Macaca mulatta: one gene and its partners. The protein of the gene in region 1 purifies or fractionates together with the protein of each later gene. This does not show direct contact. Links are inferred from orthologs where the notes say so. Each region holds a gene or a part of one and is shown on either strand. Other genes may lie near its edges.

Evidence for each region.
Region 2: the proteins of TP53RK (region 1) and OSGEP purify together in Homo sapiens (affinity purification with mass spectrometry; 5 studies listed by BioGRID and IntAct, counting the BioPlex papers as one, with this or other methods). This does not show direct contact. The link is inferred for Macaca mulatta from reciprocal best matches to the Homo sapiens genes TP53RK and OSGEP.
Region 3: the proteins of TP53RK (region 1) and GON7 purify together in Homo sapiens (affinity purification with mass spectrometry; 5 studies listed by BioGRID and IntAct, counting the BioPlex papers as one, with this or other methods). This does not show direct contact. The link is inferred for Macaca mulatta from reciprocal best matches to the Homo sapiens genes TP53RK and GON7.

What each region holds. Positions count from the first base shown.
Region 1 is NC_133415.1:99,486,023-99,495,063, forward strand, and holds TP53RK (EKC/KEOPS complex subunit TP53RK), read right to left. Parts: upstream 8,185-9,041; 5' UTR 8,123-8,184; coding exon 7,840-8,122; intron 5,686-7,839; coding exon 5,207-5,685; 3' UTR 2,856-5,206; downstream 1-2,855.
Region 2 is NC_133412.1:93,249,182-93,260,004, forward strand, and holds the start of OSGEP (tRNA N6-adenosine threonylcarbamoyltransferase), read right to left. Parts: upstream 6,840-10,823; 5' UTR 6,430-6,839; coding exon 6,315-6,429; intron 3,945-6,314; coding exon 3,825-3,944; intron 3,647-3,824; coding exon 3,471-3,646; intron 770-3,470; coding exon 674-769; intron 518-673; coding exon 468-517; intron 316-467; coding exon 237-315; intron 1-236. Other genes in the region: APEX1 (DNA-(apurinic or apyrimidinic site) endonuclease), read left to right, coding at 7,391-7,448, 7,654-7,841, 8,341-8,533, 8,664-9,181; PIP4P1 (type 1 phosphatidylinositol 4,5-bisphosphate 4-phosphatase), read right to left, coding at 10,246-10,389. UniProt on the Homo sapiens protein: Component of the EKC/KEOPS complex that is required for the formation of a threonylcarbamoyl group on adenosine at position 37 (t(6)A37) in tRNAs that read codons beginning with adenine.
Region 3 is NC_133412.1:166,456,010-166,467,159, forward strand, and holds GON7 (EKC/KEOPS complex subunit GON7), read right to left. Parts: upstream 5,650-11,150; 5' UTR 5,630-5,649; coding exon 5,422-5,629; intron 2,365-5,421; coding exon 2,270-2,364; 3' UTR 1,482-2,269; downstream 1-1,481. Other genes in the region: putative E3 ubiquitin-protein ligase UBR7, read left to right, coding at 5,884-6,033, 8,397-8,530, 8,894-8,954, 10,289-10,384. UniProt on the Homo sapiens protein: Component of the EKC/KEOPS complex that is required for the formation of a threonylcarbamoyl group on adenosine at position 37 (t(6)A37) in tRNAs that read codons beginning with adenine.

The DNA of each region.
Region 1 (9,041 bases):
GGGAGGTTTCTTTACCTGTTCGCACCGAGAATGACAGTAACTTACGACCCCTGGTGGCAGAAAAGTGCAGTCCATTGAAATTGCGGTGCCTAGAATTAAAGAAAAGGGAAGACTCCTAGTTCCCCAAGAACTAGGCTGCATTCGTTTGTTTTCTGTTGCTTTTAACAGAATACTTGAAACTGGGTAATTTATAAAGAAAAGGAGTTTACTCCTTATTGTTATGGAGGAATACAAGGTCAAGGGGGCACATCTGGTGGTGGCATAGCCTTCTTGAAGGTGGGGACTCTACAGAGACCTTAGGCGGCACACGGCATCATATGATGAGGGTGCTGGGCATGTTAGCTCAGGTCTCTATTCCTCTTACAAAGCCACCAGTCCCGCTCTCATAATAACCCATTATGTATTAATCCACATGTGGATTAATCCATTCATGAGGGCAGAGGCCTCAGGATCCAATCACCTCTTAAAAGCCCCATCTTTCACTACTGCTAAGTTGGGCAGTTTCCAGCACATGAGATTTGGGGAACACATTCAAACCATAGCAGGTGCGGGCCCTTTTAAGAACATGGACTCCTCCATCAGGGTTCTGGCAGTCAGTGACAACTGGGTTAGAACTAGGGTGAAGCAAGCGAGGCACAAATTTAAGGGGGCACCCAAAAACTCAATAATCAAGACAAATATCTTAATGGGATGGTTTTAAAAATCAAATTGGCAAACTATGGCCCACAGGCTGACTGATTTGTAAATAAAGTTTTATTGGAACCAGGGTCAGGAACATGGTGAACTCTTGCAGTTAAATCAGAGATTATGCCCTGCATGTCTTCACTAATGTAGGTGTTCCCAACCCCTAAGGTAGCACGTGTTGTGGGCATGGTCGGTTCAGCTCATCCAACAATAAGAACACAGCTTGTTTGGAGCACTCCCCCAGCTTTAAAGCAACTCTACTCTGGAACTACCTCTCTTGGCCCCATGGACTGGCCACAAAAGCACTTTTCAGTGTTCCAGGAATGTGGGCCTGTGTCAAGTGTTGGTCGCATCTCAGTGTCCTATCACATTTCCCTGGCGCTGCCATTCGCTAAGTGGCATGGGGCAGGACTTAATTTCTCTGTCTCATTTGCTTTTTCTGTAAAATGGGTTAATGCATGCAAAGAATGCAACTCTATAATAAAGTCAGCTGCTGCTGTTAAAAGCATGGGTTTGAATCCCAGCTGTCACTTACTGTGACCCTAGGACATGATATTTCCTATTGCTGTTTCCTCCACCATAAAATGGAGATTATAATCCTCATCTGGTTGGGTTTAGGTGGGGATTCACACAAAACTGCTAGTGCTTTTGGCTCAGCACTGCAAAGCACCTGCAGCTCCCCCGTGGACATCAAGGGATCTGAAAGTGCAGAGGGTTCCTTAGCCCTTTGTGACACGGAACTAGGGAAGGAATCCACTGTTTACCTAGGAACGTTTGTTAACCCTTTATTTCCCACTGTGGGCCACGGGCTAAGTGTGCAGATGGGCGATTCTCCTCCTGGGGGCATTTGTGACGTTTCTCCAGTCTCCAATATCTGCCACTCTCCCTCTGGATACTAGAAAAGATCATTACTGCTTCCTGACAGCTGTGGCTACCCCAATTATCACTGGCACTGAGACTGGAGGTAGAAAGAAATTATTTAGGCAGATATTGAGGGCAAAAGAGTCATCAGCTGAATTTCCCTTCTAACAAAAAAGCAGTCCCAGAAATCATTTCTTTTCTAACAAAGAGCAGCCTGAAAAATCCAGCTTCAAACATAGATAAGGAAGCTGGAAGCTTGCACAGGGGAATACTGGCAGCTGTGCCAATAGAAAAGGGCTACTTGGGGGCCACGCATGTCCGACACAGAGGCTCCATCTTCCCTTTTAGCACGTGTACAGTAATAAAGAAGTGGGCAACATGGCACAGCTCAGGCAGAGAACTCGCCTGCATAATAAAAGATTGGGGTGGGGGTGCCCAGAGATTCATACCCTATGCCAGTGGCACACCTGGGTCCAACCAGTTTTGCACACCCTATGTAGATTAGACAGTACCTCCTCACCAGCTCATCTATAAAACCCCCTGCAGATCTGCTGGATCACCGCAGATCCAGCAACCCATTTTTCCAGGACCCCTCTTGTAATAGTTTAATTTCTTTCAACTATTAAATTTCTGCTCTTCAACTCACTCTTTGTGGGTCCATGTCCTTGATCTCCATGACCATGAGACAACGAACCTCGGGTGTTCCCCCAGACAAGGCTGCTTCTCCACTGCGTTCCCTGCCTCGGTGGCTGCCAGGTCCTGTGCCAAGCAGTTGGAGCATGCTCGCCACGGCTTCCACCCTGGCTACTGTTTTCACTGGCCCAGCTGGTTTTGGTCGCCTTCTCACTTCCAGGTTTCTTGCTTCCACTCTTGCCGTCTATGGTTTTCTGCCAGCAACCAATGCAACTCTTTCAAAACAATCAGGTGTCACCCTGTTAAAAATCCTGAGTCCCATTAAGAACAAAACCCAACCTTGTAACAGGGCCCTGCAGGATCTGGCCCTGCCTCTCCCATCGCATGTTCTGCTCCTCCTCCTTGCTCACTGATGCCAGCCACACTGGCCTTGCTGTCGGGGATGTTCCTTCCTCACCAACTTCGCACGCCACAGCCTGCCTGGGATATACTCCCTTCATCTCCCGTGTTTCTGGTTTTCCTTCACCTCTTCACTCATCACTGTCTGAAACTGCCTTATTTTACGTTCCCCAGGAAAGTAAACTTCATGTTCCCCTCTATTAGATCTCTAGTGCCTGGCACATAGTGAGTACTAGTGTATTACTCACGCTGCTAATAAAGACATACCCGAGACCGGGTAATTTATAAAGGAGAAGTTTAATTACTCACAGTTGAGCATGGCTGGGGATGCCTCGGGAAACTTACAATCATGGCGGATGGGGAAACAAACACATCATTCTTCACATGGCAGCAGGAAGTGCCAAAAAGAGGGAAAAGCCCCTTATAAAACCATCAGATCTCATGAGAACTCACTCACTATCACAAGAACTGCATGGAGGTAGCCGCCCCCAGGATTAAATTACCTCCCACTAGGTCTCTCCCGTGTCACGTGGGGGTTACAGGAACAATTCAAGATAAGATTTGGGTGGGGACACAGTCAAACCATATCAACTAGGGCTTTGTTGATTTAATGCACATAAGCCAACCATACCCCACAAAGTAGGTACTAGCCTTATAGTACATGTGAGGAAACTGAGGAATGAGGCATCTCATTCATGTTGGGAATATTAATTGAAAAACTTGTCAGCTCCTGTGGTCCTTGGAGTTCCTTGAAAATAATGTTATATGCCAATACTTCTTATAGTACTGTGAAGACGCACCATATCCCATATCTCTTTTGTCAGTGGAAAGAACAGATTTGGAGCCAAGTAAAAGTACCTTTGGCTACCTGTGACGTCTAGGACAAGTTCCCACCTTTTGGTGCCAGTTTCTCCATCTATAAAATGGGGACAACGCTTAACTTAAGAGTTATTTTAGATCCAATATAAAAATTCCCAGCCCAATGCCTGACATGCAGTAAACAGGCAATGATACTGTTTTTCCTCTCTACGAGTCACAACTACCCAGGAAGGGAGTTTTCACCATTCCTGGCCATCCACCCCATGCTGGACACTGGGGGAGTGCTGACTGTGATGAACGAAACAAACAGGGTACTGGTCCTACTATTACAGAATGTTTGCTTCATAAGAACAGGCACTGACTGTATCATCTCTCAACACAACGGAATGAAGCTAGGAATGAGTAACAAAAGAAAAACTGGAACATTCACAAATGTGTGGAAATTAACAGATTTCTAAACAATCAAGTGGTCAAAAAAGAAATCACAAGGGAAATTAGAAAATACTTCGAGATTAATGAAAACAAAAACACAAAATACCAAAACTGAGAGTGTGTGATGAAAAGTGTGCAGAGAGAAATTCATAGCTGTAAATGTCTATATTAAGAAACAAGAAAGTAACTATGTGAGGTGATGGGTGTTAATTAGCTCGGCTGTAGTCATCATTTCATAATGTGTATCAAAACATCACACTACTTAATAATTTTTTATAAAAATAAATTTTCTTACAAAAGAACAGGCGCTATGTCTGTCTGGCTCACCATTGTACCCAACACCCAACAGGGTGCCAAGGAACATAAAAGGTACTCAAAATATGTTTGTTGATTGGAGTTTACAAGGAAGAAAGGTATTTTATTATACATCCGTTCCCTTCCCACCCACACACAGCTTCTTCTAAGAAAAGAAATTGAGGCTGGGCAAGGTTAAAAGCTAGCTCCTGGTACCTTTGCATCCACACTCAGCTTATCTGTACCTTAAACCAGACTTCATCAAACTTCAGTCTTCACAAGTCACTTCATCATTTTTGCTCTACCTACTCATTGCCTGTGACAGAAATCAACTCAGTTTGCTTACCTGTATAAACTTAAAAGGAACTTTATATCAATCACTTGTCTTAGAAGGTAACCACAAAAATACAAAACAATAAAAATAAAAACAATGTTAACATGAATTTCAGTTGCCTGAAAGCTGTAAGTCTGCTTTTTTAAAAGAGAAATTGGAGTTAAGCAGATTTTTCATTTTTTGATCATGACCCTGAAAGAGAAATATATTTGACATCAAAACTCAGTACATATCCTTGTCTACATATACATGTGAAAGTTTCATAAAACAATATTGATATTTTCTATGCTGCAATTCTATTTCATTTTTAAAAATGCTGGTTGTATCCCATTAAACTGGTTTCAAAATAAATATATCATGTACACAACAAAAAAAACACTGGGTTAGAGGGCCAGTAAGCTCAGTGAGTATCACTGAGACTTCATCCTTGTCTCACAAGGACTAAAAAGAGAGTAACATTCTCATTATGTAGTTCAATGCCACACCCATATAACTGAGACATACATGTCACAATCTGGGAGAAGCCTGTCCTAGATTTAAATACCCAGTTCTGCCTAGAACATGACTCAGACACATAGTAAGCTCTTGAGTAGAGTGAAGTGCAGATGATAATGACACCACAGGCACGATCACACACCACTTAAAAATATCTTAACACCTTTACTTAGATCTCATCTCATACTTTTAGTATTTCTTCAAATTTACTTTGAAAAAAGAGCTTCACTGTGTGTGGCTGTCATACACATTTTCCTACCCAACCATGGTCCTCTTTCTTCCTCTCAGGCGCACTTCATCTAATTTTTTTAGCACTGGCCTGGCCTTTTTGGAGGAGGTGGAGTAGCTCTTCAAAAAGGCTTCAAATACAGTTTCAGTGTTGGGATGGGTACTGAGGAAGGCCTTCTCCAGGACATAGAGGTCTACTCCCTTATCCTCTGGAAGTGCCGAAATGAAGCTCAGCCCAAAGTCTATGAGGACAATGTTCAGCTGTTCCAGGGGGGGTTTCAGGAGCATGTTGGAGGTGGTGAGATCACCATGAATGAGGTCTTCATCGTGCATTCGAGCCAAAACCTGCCCAATTGTCTTGGCTAAGTTGGAGAGACTTTGGGGAGTTTTTTCAGTCTCCATAGTAGACTGAATATAATCTCGAACAGTCACTGAGCCTTCAATTTCTTCCATATATAAGCAGTTGGAAGCATAGTCCACAAAAAAGACAACTGGGGCAGATATTCCTGAAATCAAGACATAAGTGGTTATTGGGTTGGATTTTTTTTTAATGGATAAACTTAATTTTCAAAGATTAAGCCAGTTTTTCCATCTATATCTACTTATTTCAGGATGATTTAGGAATGCTACAGGGAATGGTACAACTGAATGGAATATTCCCCTGCTCCTGCCCCCTGCAGGACTATACCTGGGACCACCCCACAGCTAAACTGAGGAGGCCATAGCTTCCTCCTCCCTTCCAAACCACCCTTTCTCACTGAACTTCATTTGTCACACTCACTCTCTAAAAAACAAACAAAACAAAGGCCGGGTGTGGTGGCTCATGCCTGTAATCCCAGCACTTTGGGAGGCCGAGGCAGGCGGATCACTAGAGGTCAGAAGTTCGAGACCAGCCTGGCCAACAGGGTGAAACCCCATCTCTACTAAAAATACAAAAATTAGCAGAGCGTGGTGGTATGCACCCGTAGTCCCAGCTACTCGGGAGGCTGAGGCAGGAGAATAGCTCAAACTCAGGGGGTAGAGGTTGCAGTAAGCCGAGATTGCGCCACTGCAGCACTCCAGCCTGGGTGACAAAGTGAGACACTGTCTCAAAATACAAAAACAAACAGCAAGGCACAGCCCAGTCAGAGCAGTTTCTACTGATGAGGACACAAACAGGAGGCCAAGCAGTGTGCTGGCTTCGAGGTTCATCTTCACAGTCAGAGAGGACAGGGTTCAAATCCCAGCTCCTTTTCTTATTAGTTGTCTAATCTAATCTTAAAATTACATTAACTTCTCGGCCAAGGCAGGTGGATCACGAGGTCAGGAGATCGAGACCATGCTGGCTAACATGGTGAAACCCCGTCTCTACCAAAAATACAAAATATTAGCCAGGCGTGGTGGCAGGCGCCTATAGTTCCAGCTATTCTGGAGGCTGAGGCAGGAGAATGGCGTGAACCCTGGAGGTGGAGCTTGCAGTGAGCCGAGATTGGCCACTGCACTACAGCCTGGGGGACAGAGCGAGACTCCGTCTCAAAAAAAAAAAAAAAAATTACATTAACTTCTCTAAGTCTCAGTTTCTGCTACAATAAACTCAAATGAATTTTTACTGAAAGTCAACCAGGCTCAGTATACTTTTCTAGAAACTGAGAGATGTATCAATGGGGATACAGCAATAAACAAGCCAGCTATAATACAATCTCTGCTTAACGAAACATATCATAAGAGGCTGAAAACAGAAATATGAACACACAAATAAGTTCGTGAAATCTTCAGTCTCTGAAAGGGCAGCAATGTGTCTGCTTGTTGGCTACTGAATGTCCCCCCTTGCTAGATCTCCCAGCACTTAACAATGTCCTGGCACCCACAAGTACCTAAAAAATACTAATAAAAGAAAGGCACGAAGCGTAAAATTAAAAAGCCAGTACTTCTGAGTCAGAGGCATACGGAGCTGAGGGCCTGGACCGGCCACTTAGTAGCCGTGTAACCTTGGGCAAGTTACTTCTCTCTGAGTGTCACTTTCTCAACTGAGGACAAGGTTTATGGCGCTGGCGCACAATAAATAGGCAATTTAATGAAATCCAACACTTACTGAGCACTATGTGCCAGGCACACATTCGAACATAATACACTGCACACAGACCTCCTCTAATGGTCACAACATCCCTATGACATGGATATTGCTACTATGTCTCCCATTTTACAGGTGAAAAAACCGAAGGTGAGAGGCTAAATAACTTGTTGAAAGGCTACATAAGCAGCAGAGTTAGTATTTCAACCCAGACAGCCTGGCTCCAGTGGGGCAAGTACTTGTAATTACATGTTTCTTAAAACTAATAAATGAAAAGATAATGATCGAAAATTGAAACGAGTCAAATGGGGAAATCAAGGCTCAGGGAAGTTAAAGATGTTCGACGTTGACCAATAATGACAGCGTCCAGATTTGAACCTGGCAGAACGGCCCCAGGACAAACGCTTGACGCTGCAAGGCCACGTGGTTTCTTAAGACTTAACGAATGAAGAAAGGGATGAAAGAATAACATTTCCGAAAGGCTGGCCACGGCAGAAGGCACAGAAGGAGAAACTGAGGCAAACCGAGGCTCGGAGCGCAGGAGAGTCCCTCACCCGCCCAGGCCCCAGAGCCTCGGGGCCGCCCACGCCAGGATCCGGGCCCTCCTTACCCGCGCGGCGGCAGCGGAGGAGAGCCCGCGCTTCCTGCACCGTCCGCCGCCGGCCAAGCCGCGCCTCCAGCGCCGGGTGCCGGTAGCCCTTGGGGAAGCGGTGCTTTATCACAGCCGCGCGGCCCTGGAAGCGGCCGCGGAACACGCGCGCCTCGGCGCCCTGCTTCACCAGCTCCAGGCCTCTCAAGAAGCGGCTGCTTCGCTCCCGGGCCGCGGCCAGAGCCTCAGCCTCTGGCGCGGGCTCCTCGCCATCGTCCGGGGCAGCAGGTCTGGCCGCCGCCATGACTGTGCTCGGCGGTACAGCTCCGACCGACCCGCTCTCTCTGAAAACTGTCGCGATGCTTCGGCTCGCTTCGGAAATCCTGGTACTTCTTCGGTTACCCGAACGCTTCCGCCCCGGACACTTCCGGCCTGTGAGTGGTTACGCCTCCCAACCTTTCGGCTCTCTGAAGCCTTGGGTTCCCTGCAGGAAGGGTTCCTGTGGCCCCGCCTTTCACCTCTTCGGCTATCTCCGTACACGTTCGGCAACTCTCGGTAAGTGGCTCTTCCCTACTCCTTGGCTCTCCGGAAATCTTCGGTGATTCCCGCAACCGGTTTTGGGAGATCACCTCCCAGTTGGTCGTCTCTTTCCGGAAAACTTCGGCTCCTCTCGAGAAAAACGTCGGACGCTCTTTGCTCACTTAAGGAGTCTCCTCCTGGACAGGTGCACCCTCTAGTAGTGTCTTTTTGGAACACCTCTTCCCCTGACTCCTAAATTCCCCCCAGAATGTACTCATACTAGTCAGTGTCGGAAGGGTCAGACAATGAACCGTGTTTCCGACATCCTCTTAAGTGCTAGGATAACTACCATTTAGTGCATTCAGAAGAAATAAGATTAAATGATGAAAATCCTTACAGAAAAGAAAATTGAGACTCAGAGAGGGCAGTGGGGGTGGTGGGATGGGGCGGGGAGTGGGGGCTGGGGAATCCAGGAAAGTTTTCCGGAGACAGAACCTAAACTGAATTGGGAGGAATTAAACTTTTTCAGTTTCTACCTGTTTCATTACAAAGCTAATAACACAGGCTGTAGCAAATTCTTACAATACGGAACTTTGCGCGCACACACACATATAAATAAACTGCCCATCCTCCTTGTGACACCGCTGGCCGTTAGTTTCTTTCCAGAACTTTCTTTTATTCAGTGCGCACACTCACACATCATT
Region 2 (10,823 bases), on another chromosome or scaffold:
TGTAGGCAAGGATTTTTGTTTTGCTCCATGCTGCATCTCTACTACCTAGAACAGTACCTGGCACACAGAGATATTCAATGAATACCTTATAAATGAATTTACTCAGCACATGATATGGACCAGGAATGTGCTATATGAACATACTGAGCTATGTGAAATACAACAGTAAGTAAAACAGATATGCCTCATTTAAAAAGCATGAAGGTGCCCCGTCTCATCACCTCTCTCACACTCACCTCAATGAAAGACAGGATCCCTGAGAATGAGACGTCCATCCCCTTTACGGTGTACGGCAGCTCAACTAGCTTCTTGCCTCTGTGTGGGAATGAGTACACAAGGCACTAAGCCTACAGTCAACCGGCTTCTGACCCTCCAAAGCCCCTCCCAAGTTCTGTTCATATATACCGTATATGGGGAAATCCCTGAAGCCCCAGCAGCCAGCCTGCTTCCACCTTATGTCCCCTTACCGCTTTGCCATCTGTTCAATGTTGTATCCTGGACTTGGGTCGTTAGAAATCTAACAGAAAAAAAAATAAGGAAAGAGGGAATGGAATAGGATGAAATCAGATATGCAAGAAGCATAAGAAGATTATTTACTATTTCCTCCCTCCACCTCCATGGCTTCCCAAAAGTTCACCCGCATTTTATGTTCTCTGCAGCCCCATTGGCTTACCTTCAGCACTCGAGCAAAACGATCCAGACAATTACCCACTGCAATATCGATGGTTTCCCCAAAGATACGGTAACGATGTTCCGAGTATGCAATCACCTAAGGGTGATGAGGATGTCCATGAAACCCCAAGTCTGTAAACAGGATTATTTGGCTTTGGGAGAAAAACATAGCAGAGGATCAACATGACCACCAGAGCTTCCAATAAGAAGTGGAAGAAAGGTGTTTCCCAAATGGTGAATGGGTAATGTTTTTACAGCTCTGATTTGAAAAGACATCTGCATACCCTGAGGATTCCAGGAATAGAGTCCTAATCTACAAGACAGTCTAGGTCCAAGCAGAAATAAATTATCATTTCAAATACATTTGTTTTCCAGCTTAGAAGTTCCTAATATATTCCTTAAATGCAGTCTTGACAGTAGGGAACAGGCTTTTCTGCTGGGAGGCAGAGAACATGAATCCTTCTAAATTATGACATAGTGACAGTGTTTTTGTTGTTCTGACAGGTATTTGTTGTTCTGAGACAGGGTCTCGCTCTGTCTCCCAGGCTGGAGTGGAGTGGTGTGATCATAGCTCACTGTAGACTCGACCTCCTAGGCTCAAAGGATCCTCCCACCTCAGCTTCCTGAGTAGCTGGCCTACCATGTGTGGCTAATTTTTATATTTTTGTAGAGATCGGGTCTCACTATATTGCCCAGCCTGGTCTCAAACCCCTGGTCTCAAGCAATCTACCTGCCTCGGCCTCTCAAAGTGCTGGGATTATAGGTGTGAATCATTGTATCCAGCTGGGCACTGGTATTTAGAACCAAGAAGCAGAGTTGAAGAACTCAAAAATCTCATATGGAGGCAGATTAATGGCCCAGCCAAGTCAGCAATAGCAGTCCACTTAAGACCATTTTTCTTTTTTTTGAGACGGAGTCTCGCTCTGTTGCCCAGGCTGGAGTGCAATGGCGTGATCTCAGCTCACTGCAACCTCTGCCTCCCGGGTTCGTGCCATTCTCCTGCCTCAGCCTCCCGAGTAGCTGGGACTACAGGCGCCCACTACCACGCCCAACTATTTTACATATTAAGGCCATTCTTCATATGTGACCAACTTTTAGCACAGAGATTATCTGTCACCTACTGACACATATGCTGCAGACTTAGAACACCAAGGGTTTCCTAGGAACCTTAAGAAGTCCCTTTCCCTTCCCAGTGCTGTCAGGGATTTCTTCCCTTTCTGATACACATCTTAATCTGCTGTCAAAAAGATAGTAACAAAGAAGAAGGAAAAACCCTGCCTTTCTGCTCCTGCTATCCACTCCTCTCCACCTAATTACCCTCCCTGTTTCTTACACCTAAGCAAACATTAAAAGAGGAAGACAAAGCCGCCATTGCTCCTTTTTATCACCTCTTGTAGTCTCCATTATACTTTCCACAACCCAAGTCTCTAACCTTGTATGTCATCCTTCAGGCCTCAACCAACTACTTGCCCTCTACCTGCTGAAGTTTCCGCATCGTTTTCATGGGAAACACGTGCCTCATCTTCTAGACACAACCCTTTCATGGGCTGGGGACAATGCTGAACCATTTCTAATGATAATTAAGTGTTCTGTTGGAAAGGAATCCAATCCCAACCTTCAAAAGGTCATATAAGGTATCCCAAACAACTTTAGCTTCACTTATAAATTTAAAATATCTTCTGGCTGGGCACAGTGGCCCACGCCTGTAATCCCAGCATTTAGGGAGGCCGAGGCAGGTGGATTACCTGAGGTCAGGAGTTCAAAACCAGCCTGACCAACAGGGTGAAACCCCGTTTCTACTAAAAACACAAAAAATCAGTCATGTGTGGTGGCAGGTGCCTGTAATCCCAGCTACTCGGGAGGCTGAGGCAGAATAGTTTGAACCTGTGAGGCAGAGGTTGCAGTGAGCCAAAGTCGCACCATTGCACTTCAACCTGTACAATAAGAGCAAAACTCCGTTGCAAATAAATAAATAAGATAAAATAAAATACCTTCTATAATTTATAAAGTATTTTTATAGTTATTTATATTTCTGAACTTTTAGAACAACAAAGTCTATATAATCATCCCCAGTAATACAAAAACAAAACATGTAGTTGCCCTAAAATAATAAATCAGGTAGCGTCCCTTAGTTCCTTATTTTTTTTTTTTTTTTGAGACAGAGTTTTGCTCTCATTGCCCAGGCTGGAGTGCAATGGTGTGATCTCGGCTCACCGCAACCTCCACTTCCTGGTTCAAGCAATTCTCCTGCCCAGCCTCCCAACTTGCTGGGATTACAGGCACCTGCTACCACGCCAAATTAATTTTTGTTATTTCTAGTAGAAATGGGGTTTTGCCATGTTGGCCAGGCTGGTCTCAAACTCCTGACCTCAGATGATCCACCCACCTTGACCTCCCAAAGTGCTGGAATTACAGGTGTGAGTTGCCATGCCCAGTAACCGTTAGTTTCAGTTGCTAAGATTTACAGAAAAAATAAGCTTCAAAATAATGCAAGATCTTTCAGATATTCATTATTTTGAAGGCTTCAATCCTTACCATTCATTCCTTTCCTGAAGTAGAAATTCCTAATCTTTATGATCAGATATAAAGTCTGATAATGATAAGTCATCTAATGTTCTGAACATGCTGCCAAAATTTGCAATGTTACAAACTCGGTTGGGAGTTTTCTGGTCTACAGTATTTTAGGTTCAGATGAGTTCAGCTTTGTTCCTGACATTCCCATGACTCAGATAGAACGAAGAAGATATTGGTTCAGTGCCTCGGAAATTGAGATGGAATGGGTAGAGCACTCTAAATACCTGTGTATTTCCTCCACTGACATACAACACGGTTGGGCTGGTGGCTCCAGTGATGAGGCGGCCCATCTCGATGTGGCCTATACAGTGGTTCACACCCACCAATGGCTTATTCCACAGTTGGGCCACAGTACGGGCCACAACAGCCACAGAAACCAGTGGGGCACCCATGCCAGGGCCTAGGGAGATAGAAATGGAAGTTACAATGCTAGAGATTGGAAAAAAAATAGGTGGGGGAAGCAAGGGATGTGAGGTGGGGTAGGGGTAGTGGTGGTGGCAGAGGTAAGGTGTTGGCTATTTTGACCTAGCCAGGTTGCAGGTATATTCCTCCATCGTTGACCACTCTCCCAGCCATACCCTTGGTGTATGCAATGCAATCGATATCCTGGGAGGTTAATCCAGACTCTGTTAGTGCCTCCTGCAGCAGGTCTAGGATAACAGCTCGGTGATGCCTGGCTGTATCACCTGGAAGGAATCCTAGAAAATGAACACAGGTCAGAGATCACAGGGATTTTTGGTAGCAAAAGTAGGTAGGAAGTTAAAGAAAGCAACAGGAGGTTTAGTGATGTAGTAAGAGTCCTTTCACTTTCCCCAAGCATCCTATCTTCCACATTTTCGGATACACTCTTTCCAGCTTCTATATAGGCTGTTCAACTTTCAGAAATTCTCTTCCTCTTACCCTACTCAGCCTTCATGTCTCAATGCAAGTGGTATCTACCCATACCCTTTGGTGATCTTTTTTTTTTTTTTTTTTTTTTTTTTGAGACGGAGTCTAGCTCTGTCACCCAGGCTAGAGTGGCCTGGTGCGATCTCGGCTCACTGCAAGCTCCACCTCCTGGGTTCATGCCATTCTCCTGCCTCAGCCTCCCAAGTAGCTGGGACTACAGGTGCCCACCACTGCACCCGGCTAATTTTTTGTACTTTCAGAAGAGACAGGGTTTCATTGTGGTCTCGATCTCCTGACCTCATGATCCACCCGCCTCGGCCTCCCAAAGTGCTGGAATTACAGGTGTGAGCCACCGCGCCCCGCCTTTTTTTCTTTCTTTTGAGACGGAGTCTTGTTCTGATGCCCAGGCTGGACTGCAGTGGCACGATCTCGGCTCACTGCAACCTCCGCCTCCTGAGTTCAAGCAATTCTTCTGCCTTAGCCTCCCAAACAGCTGGGACTACAGGCGACGCCACCACACCCAGCTAATTTTTGTATTTTTAGTAGAGACGGGGTTTCACCATATTGGCCAGGCTGGTCTCAAACTCCTGACCTCGTGATCCGTCTGCCCTGGCCTTCCAAAGTGCTGGGATTACAGGCCTGAGCCATCGCGCCCAGCCTGGTGACCTTCTTTCTCTGTGACCCTACAGAACTCTGTGCATGATGATGTCATTTATTTAACAATTACAACATAATAATTTTCTGTGGTTTGCTCAGCTTAATCATGAGTATCTCAAAGCAATAAGTATTTTATCTTTGTATTCCCAGTGCCCAAGTGCCTAGAGGAGTGAATGCTAAACATACATACCTATTTCTAATGAGTAATCTGTCACATCACCTGTTCAGGGAGGCTTTTCAGATACATGGAAATCAGTTGCCCCTCTCCTATGTATGCAAGTGTTTGAGGGGAGAGTAGGCAAGATACAATGGCTTATTAAAAGTTGTAATGTGTTTTGTACTTTCTTTTTTCTTTTTTATTTTTTTGAGACGGAGTTTCACTCTTGTTGCCCAGGCTGGAGTGCAATGGCATGATCTCGGCTCACCACAACCTCAGCCTCCCGAGTAGCTGGGTTAACAGGCATGTGCCACCACGCCCGGTTAATTTTTTATATTTTTTAGTGGAGACAGGGTTTCTCCATATTGGTCAGGCTGTTCTTGAACTCCGACCTCAGGTGATCCACCCCGCCTGGGCCTCCCTAAGTGCTGGGATTACAGGCGTGAGCCACCACACCCAGACGTGTTTGGTACTTTCATCTAATCTTCAACACCTAATGATACAGGTATTATTCCCATTTTAAAAACAAAGACTAGGCCCGGGCGGTGGCTCATGCCTGTAATTTTCACACTTTGGGAGGCTGGGGTGGGCGGATCATGTGAGGTCAGGAGTTCGAGACCAGCTTGGCCAACATGGTGAAGCCCCGCCTCTACTAAAAATACAAAAATTAGCTGGGTGTGGTAGCACACACCTGTCTGTAGTCCTAGCTACTCGGGAGGCTGGGGTAGAAGAATCTCTTGAATCTGGGAGGCAGAGCTTGCAGTAAGCCGAAACCGTGCCATTGCATTCCAGCCTGGGCAACAGAGCAAGACTGTCTCAAAAACAAATTAAAATAAAAAATAAAGACCAAATGTCCAAAACATAAATATTTAATGTGAATACAGCACAGCCAGCCAGTTCTCTGACATGTAAGCTGGGAGTCTTTCCACTCTCATCTCTCTACTCATCCTAGAATATTTCAAAAAATAAAAATTTTTAAAAAAGGAGTGTATATTCAGGGCAACTGGAATATATACTCCTGCTAAGCGTTTTTTAAACAGAATATTTCGAGTCCATCTCTATTACACTGTTTATCATGCTGTAGTATAAACATCTATTTATATGTCTGACTCCACAGCAGTATCATAACATCTATTTCTGAATGCTTAGCACATAAAATGAGCTCAATAAACGGTAAACGAACTCATCAGATCCACGTCCAAGTGCTTGTAACTCTTCTAGTCATCAGCCTTGTGACGTTAATAATATCACATAATTTCAATAAGACTCAGATCAAAAGCTGCACCTCACTAGTATTTAGGAAGATGGAAGGCTGATTTTCTGCGGGGAAGTGCGCCGAAAACTCTTAACTCCCCTACTCACCCACCTGTGCCCGGAGGCGTGACATAAGTCCGCCGCGGGTTCGCCAGCACCTTGCCATCCCGCACCACACCCACGCCAATCTTATTGGCGCTGCCTTCAAAACCCAGCACCGCCGGCATGGCGGAGCCTGGGAGAAAACGCCGACAGGACTCCTAGCAACGTCAGGAGCTGTGGAAGTCCTCACTAGTCTGCGCTGGGCCGCAGCTTTCCGGAGCGCAGAAGAAGCGGGCTAGCCTGCAGATAACAGTGGGAAAGACAGCGCAGAACTCCCGCGAGCGGAGACCCGCCAAGGCCCCTCCAAGGACCTGTCTTCCTAACTGCCAGGGACGCCGAGCCGACTCTGTGCTTTACAATCCTATCCGTTTTCCTATATCTTTCCCGTGGTCCAGCCCAACCTTCTCCACTTTTTTTTCCCTTTGCACAGCGTTAGACTCTTAAGTCAGAGTCAAACAATGTGCCGTGCGTCGGGCACAACGATAAACAGCCCGAACGAGGGTTGGGGCCCTAGGTCTCCTAGAGAATTAGTTGAGAGAGGCAAGGCCAAGCGACTTCGTCACGTGGTGTCAGACAGACCAATCACGCGCATTCTTCGGCCATGTGACGCGTGCCTCTGATCACGTGACCAGGTCCGCTACCCACGTGGGGGGCTCAGCGTGCATCCTTCTTTGTGCTCGGGTTAGGAGGAGCTAGGCTGCCATCGGACCGGTGCAGATACGGGGTTGCTCTTTTGCTCATAAGAGGGGCTTCGCTGGCAGTCTGAAGGGCAAGCTTGAGTCAGGACCCTTAATTAAGATCCTCAATTGGCTGGAGGGCAGATCTCGCGAGTAGGGTACAAGGCACTATGAAATGATCTAGTTACGTGGGTGAGGGGCTGAAGGGCCTATGATGCACGGAGGCGGGGAAAGGATTTAGAGATAACATGGTTTGAAAGGCGGGACCTGGTGCGGGGACGCTCTTGAGAGGAGTCTTCTCCCCAGGCTTAGCTGGTTTCATGATTTCTTTGCGTCTGTAGGCAACGCGGTAAAAATACTGCTTTGGTGGGCGACGCGGTACAGGTGCCGAAGAGCGTTCGTTACGGGAATGCCGAAGCGTGGGAAAAAGGGAGCGGTGGCAGAAGACGGGGATGAGCTCAAGACAGGTAAGAATGAAATGAGCCCCTCTTCCTAGAAGCTACGGCGGGGTTGTTTGTAATTCCCTTGATGAACGGTAAGTACCGGCCAACTCATTTTTGCAGGGGTTTGTGAAGACGCAGTAACCGCAGGCTTTCGTTGGGTCCATAGCTAACGCCGGATCGCGGTTGGAAACCACCCACTTTTTATCAATATATATTACTCATTTTATAGAGCCAGAGCCCAAGAAGAGTAAGACGCCCGCAAAGAAAAATGACAAGGAGGCAGCAGGAGAGGGCCCAGCCCTGTATGAGGACCCCCCCGATCAGAAAACCTCACCCAGTGGCAAACCTGCCACACTCAAGATCTGCTCTTGGAACGTGGATGGGCTTCGAGCCTGGATTAAGAAGAAAGGATTAGATGTGAGTGGTGTTTGAGGGGAAGACACATTCTTTAGTATTGAATGATCTTAGGGTTTAGTCATCCCTTTTCTCCGTATAGCCTTCAGGCTGTTTTTTCTCCTGCCTGCAGTTTTCGGTGGGGCTTCCCCAGTCTTGCCAGTTGTATTTCCTAAATGTCTGCTCCTTCACTTCCATTGCCATTTTCTTTTTTAATGTTCTCTCCTCTTCCCAGAATGTTGCAAAAACCTTTTACTATACTTCCTCCATTTTATCTTCAGCATGTCCTCCATTTCATTAATTATAGCTTAAAAATCTTAGCTTGCCTATAGAAAAAACACATTCATAGTATAGCACGTAAGACTTTACCTCTGTTTTCATTTATCTAGCTTCGAATTGTTTAAATATTATTTAACCTCGAACTGCTTGACTGTTTAACCTGTGCATATTTATGACTTGGCATATATTCAATAAATGTTCTGCTGAATTGATAATACATTTTCCACCTTTCTTTTACTTATAGTGGGTAAAGGAAGAAGCCCCAGATATACTGTGCCTTCAAGAGACCAAATGTTCAGAGAACAAACTACCAGCTGAACTTCAAGAGCTGCCTGGACTCTCTCATCAATACTGGTCCGCTCCTTCGGACAAGGAAGGATACAGTGGCGTGGGCCTACTTTCCCGCCATTGCCCACTCAAAGTTTCTTATGGCATAGGTGAGACCCTATTGATGCCTAATGCCTGAACTCTTCAAGACCAATTGCTAATTCTCCATCTCTCCCCCACCTCTTGATTGCTTTTCCTTTTCTTACAGTTTTTTATGCTAATTCTGTTTCGTTTCTGTAGGCGAGGAGGAGCATGATCAGGAAGGCCGGGTGATTGTGGCTGAATTTGACTCGTTTGTGCTGGTAACAACGTATGTACCTAATGCAGGCCGGGGTCTGGTACGACTGGAGTACCGGCAGCGCTGGGATGAAGCCTTTCGCAAGTTCCTGAAGGGCTTGGCTTCCCGAAAGCCCCTTGTGCTGTGTGGAGACCTCAATGTGGCACATGAAGAAATTGACCTTCGCAACCCCAAGGGTAACAAAAAGAATGCTGGCTTCACGCCACAAGAGCGCCAAGGCTTTGGGGAATTACTGCAGGCTGTGCCACTGGCTGACAGCTTTAGGCACCTCTACCCCAACACACCCTATGCCTACACCTTTTGGACTTACATGATGAATGCTCGATCCAAGAATGTTGGTTGGCGCCTTGATTACTTTTTGTTGTCCCACTCTCTGTTACCTGCATTGTGTGATAGCAAGATCCGTTCCAAGGCCCTCGGCAGTGATCACTGTCCTATCACCCTATACCTAGCACTGTGACACCACCCCTAAATCACTTTGAGCCTGGGAAATAAGCCCCCTCAACTACCATTCCTTCTTTAAACACTCTTCAGAGAAATCTGCATTGTATTTCTCATCTATAAAAATAAGAATCCTACAACCAGGCTCCTGTGACAGATTTAGAGTTCTTTTAAGCCCAAGAGTTTTTATTTGAGGGTTTTTTCTTTTTTAAGAAAAACTGAACAAAGACTACTAATGACTTTGTTTGAATTATCCACACAAAAATAAAGAGCCATAGTTTCAGCCTTGCTGTCTTTGTGTCTTACCCCTTCGTGGGGCTACACATTCCCTTCCTCGTATTTTCGTGCATACAAGTTAACAACTGAAAAAGGGTAGAGTCATGACCTTATTTATTTACAAGCACAGGATAAGTCCCTAATCTCCCCCAAAGACTGAGCAACTCTACCCAGCCCAGTTAAATACTGCAACTGGGAGGGGGGGGGGGGTAAAAAAGGTTGGAAGGAGGAATTAAGGGAAATACAGGAATAGGGGAACATATCCCACATTAAATAGTTATATACACATCAGTTCCTGTGGTTCTGTACAGAGCAGCGGCTGACCCCACCCCCACAGGAAACAATGTGGGGAGAGGAGACTGAGGGTACTGAGGCCAGAGCCAACCTCTGGTGAAGTGCAATAGCAGCAGCAAAGTCCTAATGGTGCACAAGAGGGAGGGGAACCCCCAGGGCTACCCACCCCCACCCTGCCCTGGAATGTGTAAGGGACAGGAATGGCTCTCAGGGAGCACACAGGAAGGACAAGGCTGGAACCGTCTTTAGGACCCAGTTTTAAGGGCAACGTTTTGCCTACTTCACCCTAGACACAGCAACCCTTGGAGGAAAGCAGATGGTCAGCAGTGCTCTTATCTGCCCCTCCAAACCTAAGTGAGGGCCTGGTTCCTTCCTACCTCTCCCCAGGGAAAAGGAAGGCAGCTGCTTGGCTTCCTTATAGAAGCCCCGGGAGCCTTTAACTACCCCAGCTCCCTTCGTAGTGTCACTGTCCCCACCAGGGAGGGGCCAGGCACAGTCTGTGGGTCATCAGGCTCAGGAGAAGTTCTGGACAGGGTGGCTGACCTTCATACAGGCCCAATAAAGGGCCCGGCCCAAACACAGCACAGCCAACAGGATGACAAATGCCCAGGCTGCATAGATGCCTCCATATCGCCGTGCATGCTTCCATGTGCCAAACTGATGAAGGTAAGGAGGGAGAAGAAAAGAAAGATGGGGTTAATGTTGGTCTCCACTACCTCCTATTAGTCCTAAGAACAGTAATAACTCATGCTTCAGTCCTTGTTTCTTATCCACATATAGCCACCCTCAGGGACCTTCTTAAAGGCAGAGCTGTTCAGCTCCCTTCCCTTAGGCAGTAACATACTCATCCCATCCCACACTGTATCTCAGTTTTTCTTCATATCTGACAACTGAGCCAGGTTTGCAAATAGCAACTCTTAAATTAAGCACTTCACTGTCCTATCCTCATCCTACAGACAAAGGATGGCTATTTTGCACTCTTAGTAGTAATAAAGTCTGTTTGATCAGCCACCTTACACTTTAGCTCATCCATATCTTAAAACAAACTACTCCCCCAAGTTTCTTCCACTTTTTTTAAGGGTAGCAATTTC
Region 3 (11,150 bases), on another chromosome or scaffold:
CATGCGCCACCACACCAGGCTAGTTTTGTATTTTTAGTAGAGATGGGGTTTCTCCATGTTGGTCAGGCTGGTCTCAAACTCTCGACCTCAGGTGATCCGCCCGCCTTGGCCTCCCAAAGTGCTGGGATTGTAAGTATCAGTCACTGCACCCAACCAGTTTTTTCTTTAATGATTGTATAGAGATAACAGTACTATAATAAATAACAGCTAAATATTAGAAACATCAGCATAAACTAAACAGATAATTTCTCACGATCTATAACTTTTTCTAGTTGGCATTGTTTGATTGCCCAAGAGTACTTAGTGGAAGGCTGCTGTTCCAAAGTAAAACAGTGTTTCAATGATATGAAAAGGTATATAGATTTTCAATGATATGAAAATTAAATTATTTCATAATAAAAGTGATTCATAAAAGTTGATTAGGCCGGGCGCGGTGGCTCAAGCCTGTAATCCCAGCACTTTGGGAGGCCGAGACGGGCGGATCACGAGGTCAGGAGATCGAGACCATCCCGGTTAACCCCGTGAAACCCCGTCTCTACTAAAAAATACAAAAAACTAGCCGGGCGAGGTGGCGGGCGCCTGTAGTCCCAGCTACTCGGGAGGCTGAGGCAGGAGAATGGCGTAAACCCGGGAGGCGGAGCTTGCAGTGAGCTGAGATCCGGCCACTGCACTCCAGCCTGGGCGACAGAGCCAGACTTAGTCTTTAAAAAAAAAAAAAAAAAAAAAAAGTTGATTAGGCCAGGCATGGTGGGCTCATGCCTGTAATCCCAGCACTTTGGGAAGCTGAGGTGGGCAGATCCCTTGAGTCCAGGAGCTCTAGACCAGCCTGGGCAATGTGGTGAAACCATCTCTACAAAGAATACAAAAAAATTAGCTGGATGTGCTGGTGCATGCCTGTGGTCCCAGCTATTTGAGAGGTTGAGGTGGGAGGATCACCTGAGCCTGGGATGCGGAGGTTGCAGTGACAGTGAGCCAAGATCGTGCCACTGCACTGCAGCCTTAGTGACAGAGTGAAACCCTGTCTAAAATGCACATGCCTGTAATTTCAGCTACTTGGGAGGCTGAGGCAGAAGAATTGCTTGAACCCGGGAGGCAGAGGTTGCAGTGAGCAAGATCGCACCAATACACTCCAGCCTGGGCAACAAGAGTGAAACTCTGTCTCAAAAAAAAAAAAAAGAAAAAAAAAGTTGATTAATGATTTCTCTCACCTTTTATCAGCTTAAAGAAAACCTAAAGGCTATTTATGTAACCCAGTACTCTGTAATCTGAGGGCAAATACTTATCCTGAGATTTATCTGTGAAATAAATCACATAGTTTGTAAAGTTACTTCCAACTCTAAAATCCCATGACTATTTGTATTTTACTAGGTACATGCTACTTGATTTCTTTGCATTGAAGCTATCTACATCAGGAAGGATGCATAGTGAATAAACATGCCTTAGTCCCACTGACAAGCAGAAAAGAAACACACACATACATACTTTAGGAATATATATTTTTAAAGGATTCAATAATCTTTTTAAAGCTAAATCAAAGCATGGCTACAGGAGGAGAGGAAATATCCAAATTGTAATCAACGCAGATTATTTACTTAAGGCCTTCCATTTGTACCTGTATACATACTATATCACAGCACAAAAGCATACCCTACCCCATCTGGCTCTCTTAAGGTACATGATAAATCAGATTAATGCACATTCATCAAGCGGCATCATCTCAGGATATCTGTATCTTTGACATGGGTATGAATTCAGGGTTTCCTTGGGTCTCTTTCAAGGACTCTCTCTTCAGTATTTCTATTTCCTCATTTTCCTTCTATTTATGAAGAACTGTTATTTTTACATTTAATGCCCACTTTTCACCACTTGTTCATGTCAGTTCTCTGAAATGTTACTGCCTATGAACCATGACGTACTGTTTATAACAGAAGCAGAAGTTAAAAGATGTAGACATCACACAAACCAATGGTTATTTTAAAAATAGAAAACAATGATAAAAATTCAGTTGCCAACTTAAGAGGATTTTATATATTATGAAGTGTTCTATTTTCCTCCCACGGTCTGAAATTTATTTCTCAAGAAAACAGGTTTTATTTCTAAGCCTTCACTGTCTTTGCTAGAAACAGAAAAACCAGTTTTCTCTTTGACAAGATTGTCCCAGGAAAACAACACAAATGCTTTTCCAAATTACAGCATAAGTCTTCCTTAAATGTCCTAGTGTGACAACTGGGATACAACAGCCATCTTTTAAATGTCATAAAGGCTATTGTTAAGATGGTGGTTTTGGCCGTTTTGCAGATGGTCCATCGAAGTTAGTTCTGTTATCAATGTTATTTTCATCTTCGGCATCATCTTCATCATCACCTTTTAAAATAAATATTTGTTGTATGACAATACGTTCTATGGTTGAAAGAAATATATATAGCTAAAGTGGTTGATAACGAGACCATTTCACTTTAGGGATTAATAAAACCATGCACATTTTAGATTAAAATGATTTTGAGAATTTCAGTGTTTAAAATCTTTATTTTCTATCACTTTCCTCTTTGGAAATATTAACTCATTCATCATAAAATCCAGTCTCTTTTTTTTTTTTGAGATGGAGTCTTTCTCTGTTACCAGGCTGGAGTGTAGTGGCGCGATCTCAGCTTACTGCAACCTCTGCCTCCAGGGTTCAAGTGATTCCTGTCTCAGCCTCCCAAGTAGCTGGGATTACAGGCACGCGCTACCATGCCCGGCTAATTTTTTGTATTTTAGTAGAGACAGGGTTTCACCATGTTGGCCAAGATGGTCTCGATCTCCCGACCTCGTGATCTGCATGCCTTGGCCTCCCAAACTGCTGGGATTACAGGCATGAACCACTGTAGCCGGCCAAAATCCACTTTTAAAAGTGTACCGCTTAGTGGTTTTTAGTATATTCACTAGATTGTGCAACCATCACCACTCTCTAATCCTAGAACACTTTCATCACTCCAAAGAGAAATGAATTATGCCCATTAGCAGTCACTTTCCATTCCCCTCAGCCTTCGGCAACCACTAATCTACTTTTGTTCCCCCTTAATTTTTATTAGTGAGAGGGTCTTGCTATGTTGCCCAGGCTAGACTCAAACTCCCAGGTTCAAGTGATCCTCCTGTGTCAGCCTCTAGAGTAGCTGGGACTACAGGTGCCCACCACTGCACCCAGCTCACTAATCTCTCTCTATGGATTTGCCTATTCTGTACATTCATATAAACAAAATCATATAACATGTACCCTTCTGTGTCTGGCTCTCACTGTAGCATAATGTTTTCAAGGTTCATTCATGTTGTAGCACGTATTAATACTTCATTACCTTTTATTGCTAATAATATTCCATTGTATGGATACACCACATTTTGTTAATGCACTCATCAGTTGATGGATATTTGCATTATTTCTATTTTTTAAAATTATCATTATTTTTAGAGATGAAGCGATGGGGCCTCACTCTGTCCTCCAGGCTGGAGTGCAGTGGAACAATCAGCCCACTGCAGCTTCAAACTCGGGTTCATGTGATCCTCCCACCTCCTAAAGGTGCAACACCAAGCCCGGTCAATTGTTGTTTCCACATTTTAGTCACTATAAATGCTGCTGCTATGAACATTCATGTGTAAGTTTTTGTGTGAACATACTTTCCAGTTCTCTTGCGAGGACTACCAGTGGAACTGCTGGGTCATGTGGTAACTTCATGTCAACTTTTTGAGGAGCTACCAAACTCTTTTTCCCAGTGGTTACACTGTTTTACATTTCCACCAACAATGTACAAGATCTCCAATTTCTCCACATTCCAGCCAACACTTGTTATTGTTCTTTTTGATCATAGCCAACATCCATATTATCAAGATGTAATTCCCAAGATGGAAGGAAAGTACAGTTTAAGCTCTTCTTAGAGAATTGTAAATCCTAACTCTAATATCTATTCTTGGATTTTTCAGCTCAGGACAGTTAAAATGTACCTGCCTGGCCAGGTGCAGCAGCTCAGGCTTGTAATTCCAGCACTTTGGGAGGCCAAGGCAGGTGGATCACGAGGTTAGGAGTTCGAGACCAGCCCAGCCAACACAGTGAAACCCCGTCTCTACTGAAAATACAAAAACTAGCTGGGAGTGGTGGCGGGCGCCTGTAATCTCAGCTACTTGGGAGGCTGAGACAGGAGAATCACTTGAACCCGGGAAGCAGAGGTTGCAGTGAGCCGAGATTGTGCCACTGCACTCCAGCCTGGGCAACAGAGCTAGACTCCATTTCAAAAAAAAAAAAAAGTACCTGCCTATTTCTGCATTCGAGGCAATTTTTAAAAAATAATGCAGTTAAACTTCACGTTTCTACTTTCAAACTGCACCTACAAAACTGGAAAGGTAAGGGAGTCTCTAGGAGTTAATACATGTTAAAATTAAGTCTGTCCCACTCCTTGGAACCTGTTCCTACTCTGCGATAGATTGTACTCTTCCAAATATGTCTGTAGTTTCACACCTGATAAAACTCCTTTTTATTCAATACTCCAGCTCAAAAGTCTTATCCTCTTTGAAGCCTTCCGAGGGTCTCTGGGTTTGCAACACTTACAGAGGGCCATAGAACCACGTTCTTTTTTTTTTTTTTTTTTTTTTTTTTTTGAGACGGAGTCTCGCTCTGTAGTCCAGGCTGGAGTGCAGTGGCGCGATCTCGGCTCACTGCAACTTCCGCCTCCCGGGGTCAAGCGATTCTTCTGCCTCAGCCTCCCCAGTAGCTGGGATTACAGGTGCCCGCCACCACTCCCAGCTAATTTTTGTATTTTTAGTAGAGACAGGGTTTCACCATATTGGCCAGGCTGGTCTCGAACTCCTGACCTCGTGATCCGCTCGCCTCAGCCTCCCAAAGTGCTGGGATTACAGGCGTGAGCTACCAGCCTGGCCACTTTCACTTTTAATAAGAGTGTCTGCCTGTATAATCCCCTTGTGTTTCACAAGGGCAGGAACTGAGTCGCATTGACCTCATTCTTCCTCCAGGGCTCAGCTCAGGGTTTGGCAAATAGTAGTAGGCATTCGGCAAGTTTTTTAGTGAAATAAATGAAATAGCGATGAGTCGTGGAAATGTTTGAGTAGAAGCAGCCCAAATATAGTGATAAATGCCAACAATTTTTATTTTTTAAATTATCTTTGAAATAACAATGGAAACGGGGTCTCGATATGTTGCCCTGGCTGTTCTGGAACTCCTGACCTCAAGTGATCCTCCTGCCTCGCCCTCCCAAAGTGTTGGGATTACAGGAGTGAGCCCCACTTCGCCTGGCCCGCCAAAAATTTTTAGATGCAATTCTTCTTTCCTCGAGGCTCACTTTGTCCAAGTCTGCCACTCTACACGGGCTCCCCAAGCCAATTTCCCCTGGCTCCCGCCCCGTCCTCCTGTCGCTGCAGCACCGTCTCAGAGCTCACCGTCCAGGGCCTCGTCTGGAGCCGCCGCCACCCGGTGCTGCACTTCCGCCTGTACCAGGGGGCCGAATAATTCCGTTACCAGCTCCTTCATCTGGGCCACGCCAGACAATAGGCCCTGGAAAGGGTCGCCGTCACCCGGCGCCTCACAGGACACCCGCAGCTTCTGCGGCTTCCCTTCCTGCCCGACATACTCTCCCAGCAGCTCCATGGTGACCACTAAGCTTCCAGAACACGACACCGGGAAGCGCCACCCGGAGGCGGAAATCAGCCCGTGGCCGGCGCAGGCGGCAGAAGGGAGAGGAGTGACATCCGTTTGTCGGAAGTCGCTCCTCCCCCTTCCTTCGCTTTTTTTCCTTGTCATTGGTTCCTGGCACTCGGGCCCCGCCTCCTCCGGCTACGCCCCTCGTGGCCGCTTTTCCCGCCTCCGCCGGGGCCGAGCCGCGGTTCGGGTGACAGTTGAGGATGGCCGGAGCCGAGGGCTCCGCTGGGCGGCAGTCGGAGCTGGAGCCCGTGGTATCGTTGGTCGACGTCCTCGAGGAGGACGAGGAGCTGGAGAATGAGGCGTGTGCTGTCCTGGGCGGCAGCGACTCCGAGAAGTGCTCCTACTCGCAGGTGGGCACGCGGCCCGGGCCTTGTCTCCCGCGGCTCCCGCCGAACCTCCCCTTCCCGGCCCGGCTGTCCCTATTCCCGCCTGCCGCAGTCGTCTCCCCAGTGGTGGTCCGGGGCCGCCGTTAGTCTGCCGCTTCCTTACCCCAAGCCCACCCTTCCCTTTTATCCCCAACCTCCTGGGCCCCCTTCAGCCTGTGTCCAGCAGGGGCCCCCATCTCCCCTCTCTCTAACTCTGTCCGGCCAGCCAGGAAGGACCCTGGAGCAGCTGCTCTGTCCGTCCTCTCCAGCCTCGTCCTGGTGCACCACTGCTTTTCACGAAACCAGCCCGCGACCTCTCAGATCCAGACATCTTTGTCCCTGCTTTTCCCATCCTAAGATTATTTATTTATTTATTAGGGACCAAATGGGAGACGTCAGGTTAAAGAGATTTTCAAATCCATAGGGATTTGCGGTGAGCTCCTTGACAGCTAGTTCCTCTGCAATTTAGTTTGACAAGTGCTAGCTAGTACTTTTTCTTTCTTTTTTTGGCAAAATGGAGCAAGTACCCATGTCTGTCTGCAGTCTGCCCTCCTCCCCTGGAAATAGACCGGAAACAGAACAGCAAGTGGCTCTGGCAAGGGAGGGGAGAGAGGAGAAAAGGATCTATTTGGCATTTGGAAGACGTTGTGAGTGAGCAAGTGTTTGAGGGGGTGTGATGTGTTTAGTGACTCACCCTATACTTCGAGGCACAAAAATGGAAAAGGATGGGTAGGAAGAAGACTGACAAAGGATAAGAACTGGCAGGAAGAAGGGTTACCGAGGCAGAGGGGTGGATTGGAACACTGGGGAGATGAGGGGAGAGACTTGCATTCATTATGTGGTATGAACTGAGGTCATAATACCAGTTCTCGTTGTTGACCAAGTTTAGTTTACACTGCAAAGTGCTAGATTGTTGAATAAACCTGGTATCCAGACATAGCCCCAGGTATTTTAAAACCTTTGGTCACCACTAAAACAATTTTTCGCCTGCTTTCCTTAAAAAAAAAAAAAAAGTTCTAAGTCTGTATGTAAACTATTTTTGAAGTGTAGTTACCTTTATAAAATGGATTCCCTTAATGTTTTCTTTTTATTGTGGTAAAAAAAAAATATGGAAATTTGCACAAATCATGTACACAGCTTGAAAGGAAAGTGTGCATGTTCCCACCACCCAGATCAACAAATAGAACATTAGGAGTGCAAAAGGCTTATTGGAAAAGAACTTTAAAAAAAAGAGAAAAGAAAGAAATAGAATTTTACTGGCATCCCGGAAGCCTCCTTGTCTATTCTTCCTCCTTCCTAGAGGAAGGTAACTATACCTATTGTACATATTCACTTTTTTTTTTTTTTTTGAGATGGAATTTCACTCTTGCCACCCAGGCTGGAGTGCAATGTCATGATCTTGGCTCACCGCAACCTCCACCTCCCGGGTTCAAGCGATTCTCCTGTCTCAGCCTCCCGAGTAGCTGGGATTACAGATGCCCGCCACCACGGCCAGCTAATTTTTATATTTTTAGTAGATGGGGTTTTTTAGAGATGGGGTTTCACCACGCTGACCAGGCTGGTCTTGAACTCGTGACCTGAGGTGATCTGCCCACCTTGGCCTCCCAAAGGGCTGGGATTACAGGCGTGAGCACTGCACCCAGCCTACATATTCACTTTTTAACATTTTGTCACATCTCCTTTTCTACTTAAAATTTGTTGTTTTAAAATTTTGAACTATTTAAAAATAAGTTGCAGACATGATGACACTATACCTCTAAATACTTCAGCATGCATCTCCTAAAAATCAAAGAGATTCTTTGCATGTGTTGATTCTCTCTTTGGTGGATTTACAAACATTTTCCAGGATGAAAGTGTGATATTACTTACATAAACCTATACATATGCTCCTGTGTTTTCACCTGTTAAAATGATTAAACAGATTCATTTATTCACAGCCGACTGACAAATTCAGACATCCTATCACTTTAAGAAAGGAGTGCTAACTTGTGTCATGGCTAATGCTTGTAATCCCAGAACTTTGGAAGGCCAAGGCAGAGAACTGCTTGAGCCCAGGAGTTTGAGACAAGCCTGGGCAACATAGCAAGACCTCGTCTCTGCAAAAAATAAATAAATTAGGAAGAAAGAAAAAAGTGCTTGCATGAAAAGCACTAGTATAAAAATGAAACATGCAACACAACTGTGTTTTGGTTGATGCTCTGCTGTGTAAACTTTTTAGTCTTAATGGTTTTTACAGAAAGATCTTGACCACAGATAATCTGATTTTAATTATTTTTCAGTTCCTAGTGTGGGTATTAGGTAAGCCATGCTATTACATTAATTCTCTTTTCCATTTTGGGGGCTTTTAGGGCTCAGTAAAGAGGCAAGCACTATATGCCTGTAGTACCTGCACCCCAGAGGGAGAAGAACCAGCAGGAATTTGTTTAGCTTGCAGTTATGAATGTCATGGAAGTCACAAACTATTTGAGCTATACACAAAAAGGTAAACATAGTCAGAGATTGTTACTAAATGCTTTTGAAGTGTAGATTCTGTCCCATCTACACTTTTTCCTTATCATGTTTTTTCATGCAAAGCTGTTGTACAGTAGTGAAATTTCATGTAATTATTTTATATAATTGGAGTTTCCAGAGCCTTTAAAAACATAATATGGTACAAACTCAAACTACTCATCTTTCTCTACCATCATTTTACTTGTGTGTGTTTGTGTGTATGTGATATAAATATTTGCTTCTGTACATATTAATTTCCAGAATTGTGAAGTCTTATGTGCTTGAATGCTTGAAGAAATTTTAAATTGGATTTTGTAAAAAGAAAAATAAAATTGTTATTTCCTCCTTTTTTCAGAAATTTTCGTTGTGATTGTGGAAACAGCAAGTTTAAAACTTTGGAATGCAAATTACTTCCTGTAAGTAAACACTGTAACTATAAATGCAGTTAGAGCAGCTGGGGTTAATATTTGCCAGAGGGGGTAAAAAACAAATACCTGTATTTTCCAAAAAAGAAGTTCTTATGCTTATTCTTTGCAGATGGCCATTTCATTTTTTACTTTGTTGGAAAAACTATATAAACTGTTGAGAGCCTACAAGATAGATGGTAATTAATATGAAAGGTTTGGGGAAGAGATGTACTTGAAAGTAATTCAGGTTTAATTATATTGGTTGTACTTATTCTCTGAGGCTTTTAAAGCAAAGGATATGACTTAAAAACAATAAACAGGGTCAGGAGATCGAGACCATCCTGGCCAACACGGTGAAACCCTGTCTCTACTAAAAATACAAAAATTAGCTGGGCATGGTGGCACCCAGTCACCTACTCGGTCAGCTACTTGGGAGGCTGAGGCAGGAGAATTGCTTGAACCCAGGAGGTAGAGGTTGCAGTGAGCTGAGATTGCACCACTGCACTCCAGCCTGGCAACAGAGCAAGACTCCATCTCAAAACGAAAACAATAAATAGACTGGCACAGTGGCTCACACCTGTAATCCTAGCATTTTGGGAGGCCGAGGGGGGCAGATCACTTGAGGTTAGGAGTTCGAAACCAGCTTGACCATCATGGTGAAATGCTCCCGCCACTAAAAATACAAAAAATTATCTGGGCATGGTGGTGTGTGCCTGTAATCCTAGCTACTCGGGAGGCTGAAGCATGAGAATCGCTTGAACCCAGGAGGCGGAGGTTTCTGTTACCCAAGATTGTGCCACCGCACTCCAGCCTGGGAGACAGAGCGAGACTCCATCTCAAAAAAAAAAAAAAAAGAAAAGAAAAAGAAAAACCAATAAATAAGGCCGGGCGTGGTGACTCACACGTGTAATCCCAACACTTTGGGAGGCCTACGTGGGAGAATGGCTTGAACCCAGACCAGCCTGGGCATCGTAGTGAGACCCCATCTCTATCAAAAAGGAAAAAGAAGTACCTTGAAATTCCAGGCCAATGTCAGTTCACATAGATTGATAATTAATATTTATGATTAACTTTTATCTCCACTTTACTGAATAGGTGTATTTAATTTCTCCTAATTACCACCAAAAAAAACAAAAACAAACACAAAATTTTATTTTTTCCCTGTATCCTGAAAAAAGTATCCCTTTAGTAGTAGTGAGGTTTTTTTTTCCTACTTTGAAAGTTAAAGATCAGCCTCTTGGGGGAAATAATGTGGAAATGTATTGAATGTATTAATTTTATAATGTGTGAAATTATAGTTAAAATTAGACCATATTATTATTGAAATCAATATTATATTTCAGGACAAAGCAAAGGTAAATTCTGGCAATAAGTACAATGACAACTTTTTTGGATTGTACTGCATTTGCAAGAGACCTTATCCTGATCCTGAAGACGAGGTAAGAGAATTGGAAGTTAAACCTGGGAGTGTGTCCCCTCTAGCCTTGATTCCTCAACTGCTTGTCATATCTGAGCCTCTGGCTCTTCGGGAGGCAGTGCGGGATGGTGAAAGGGTTCTAGATTTATCTTTTCTTATGAATCTGGGTCGGATCTATAATTGGTACACATCTCAACCGTTCTTTCCATTTTTACATCATAAGAATGAAATATTGCACTTTGGGAGGCTGAGACGGGCGGATCATGAGGTCAAGAGATCCAGACCATCCTGGCTAACACAGTGAAACCCCGTCTCTACTAAAAAAATACAAAAACTAGCCGGGCAAGGTGGCGGGCGCCTGTAGTCCCAGCTACTCGGGAGGCTGAGGCAGGAGAATGGTGTAAACCCGGGAGTCGGAGCTTGCAGTGAGCTGAGATCCGGCCACTGCACTCCAGCCTGGGCTACAGAGCGAGACTCCGTCTCAAAAAAAAGAAAAAAAAAAAAAAAAGAATGAAATATTGGAGAGGACTTTCCCAAAGCCAGAGCTTCTTCCCTTCCTCTCCTTCCCTGACTGCCTCCCCCTGCCCCCTAACACTTTCTAAGAAATGACCTTCAATTTCTTCTGTCTCTCTACGGAAAGAAATGGGGTATACAAACAGCATCCTCTTAAAAATGTCGGCCGGGCGCCGTGGCTCAAGCCTGTAATCCCAGCACTTTGGGAGGCCGAGGCGGGCGGATCACAAGGTCAGGGGATCGAGACCACAGTGAAACCCCGTCTCTACTAAAAA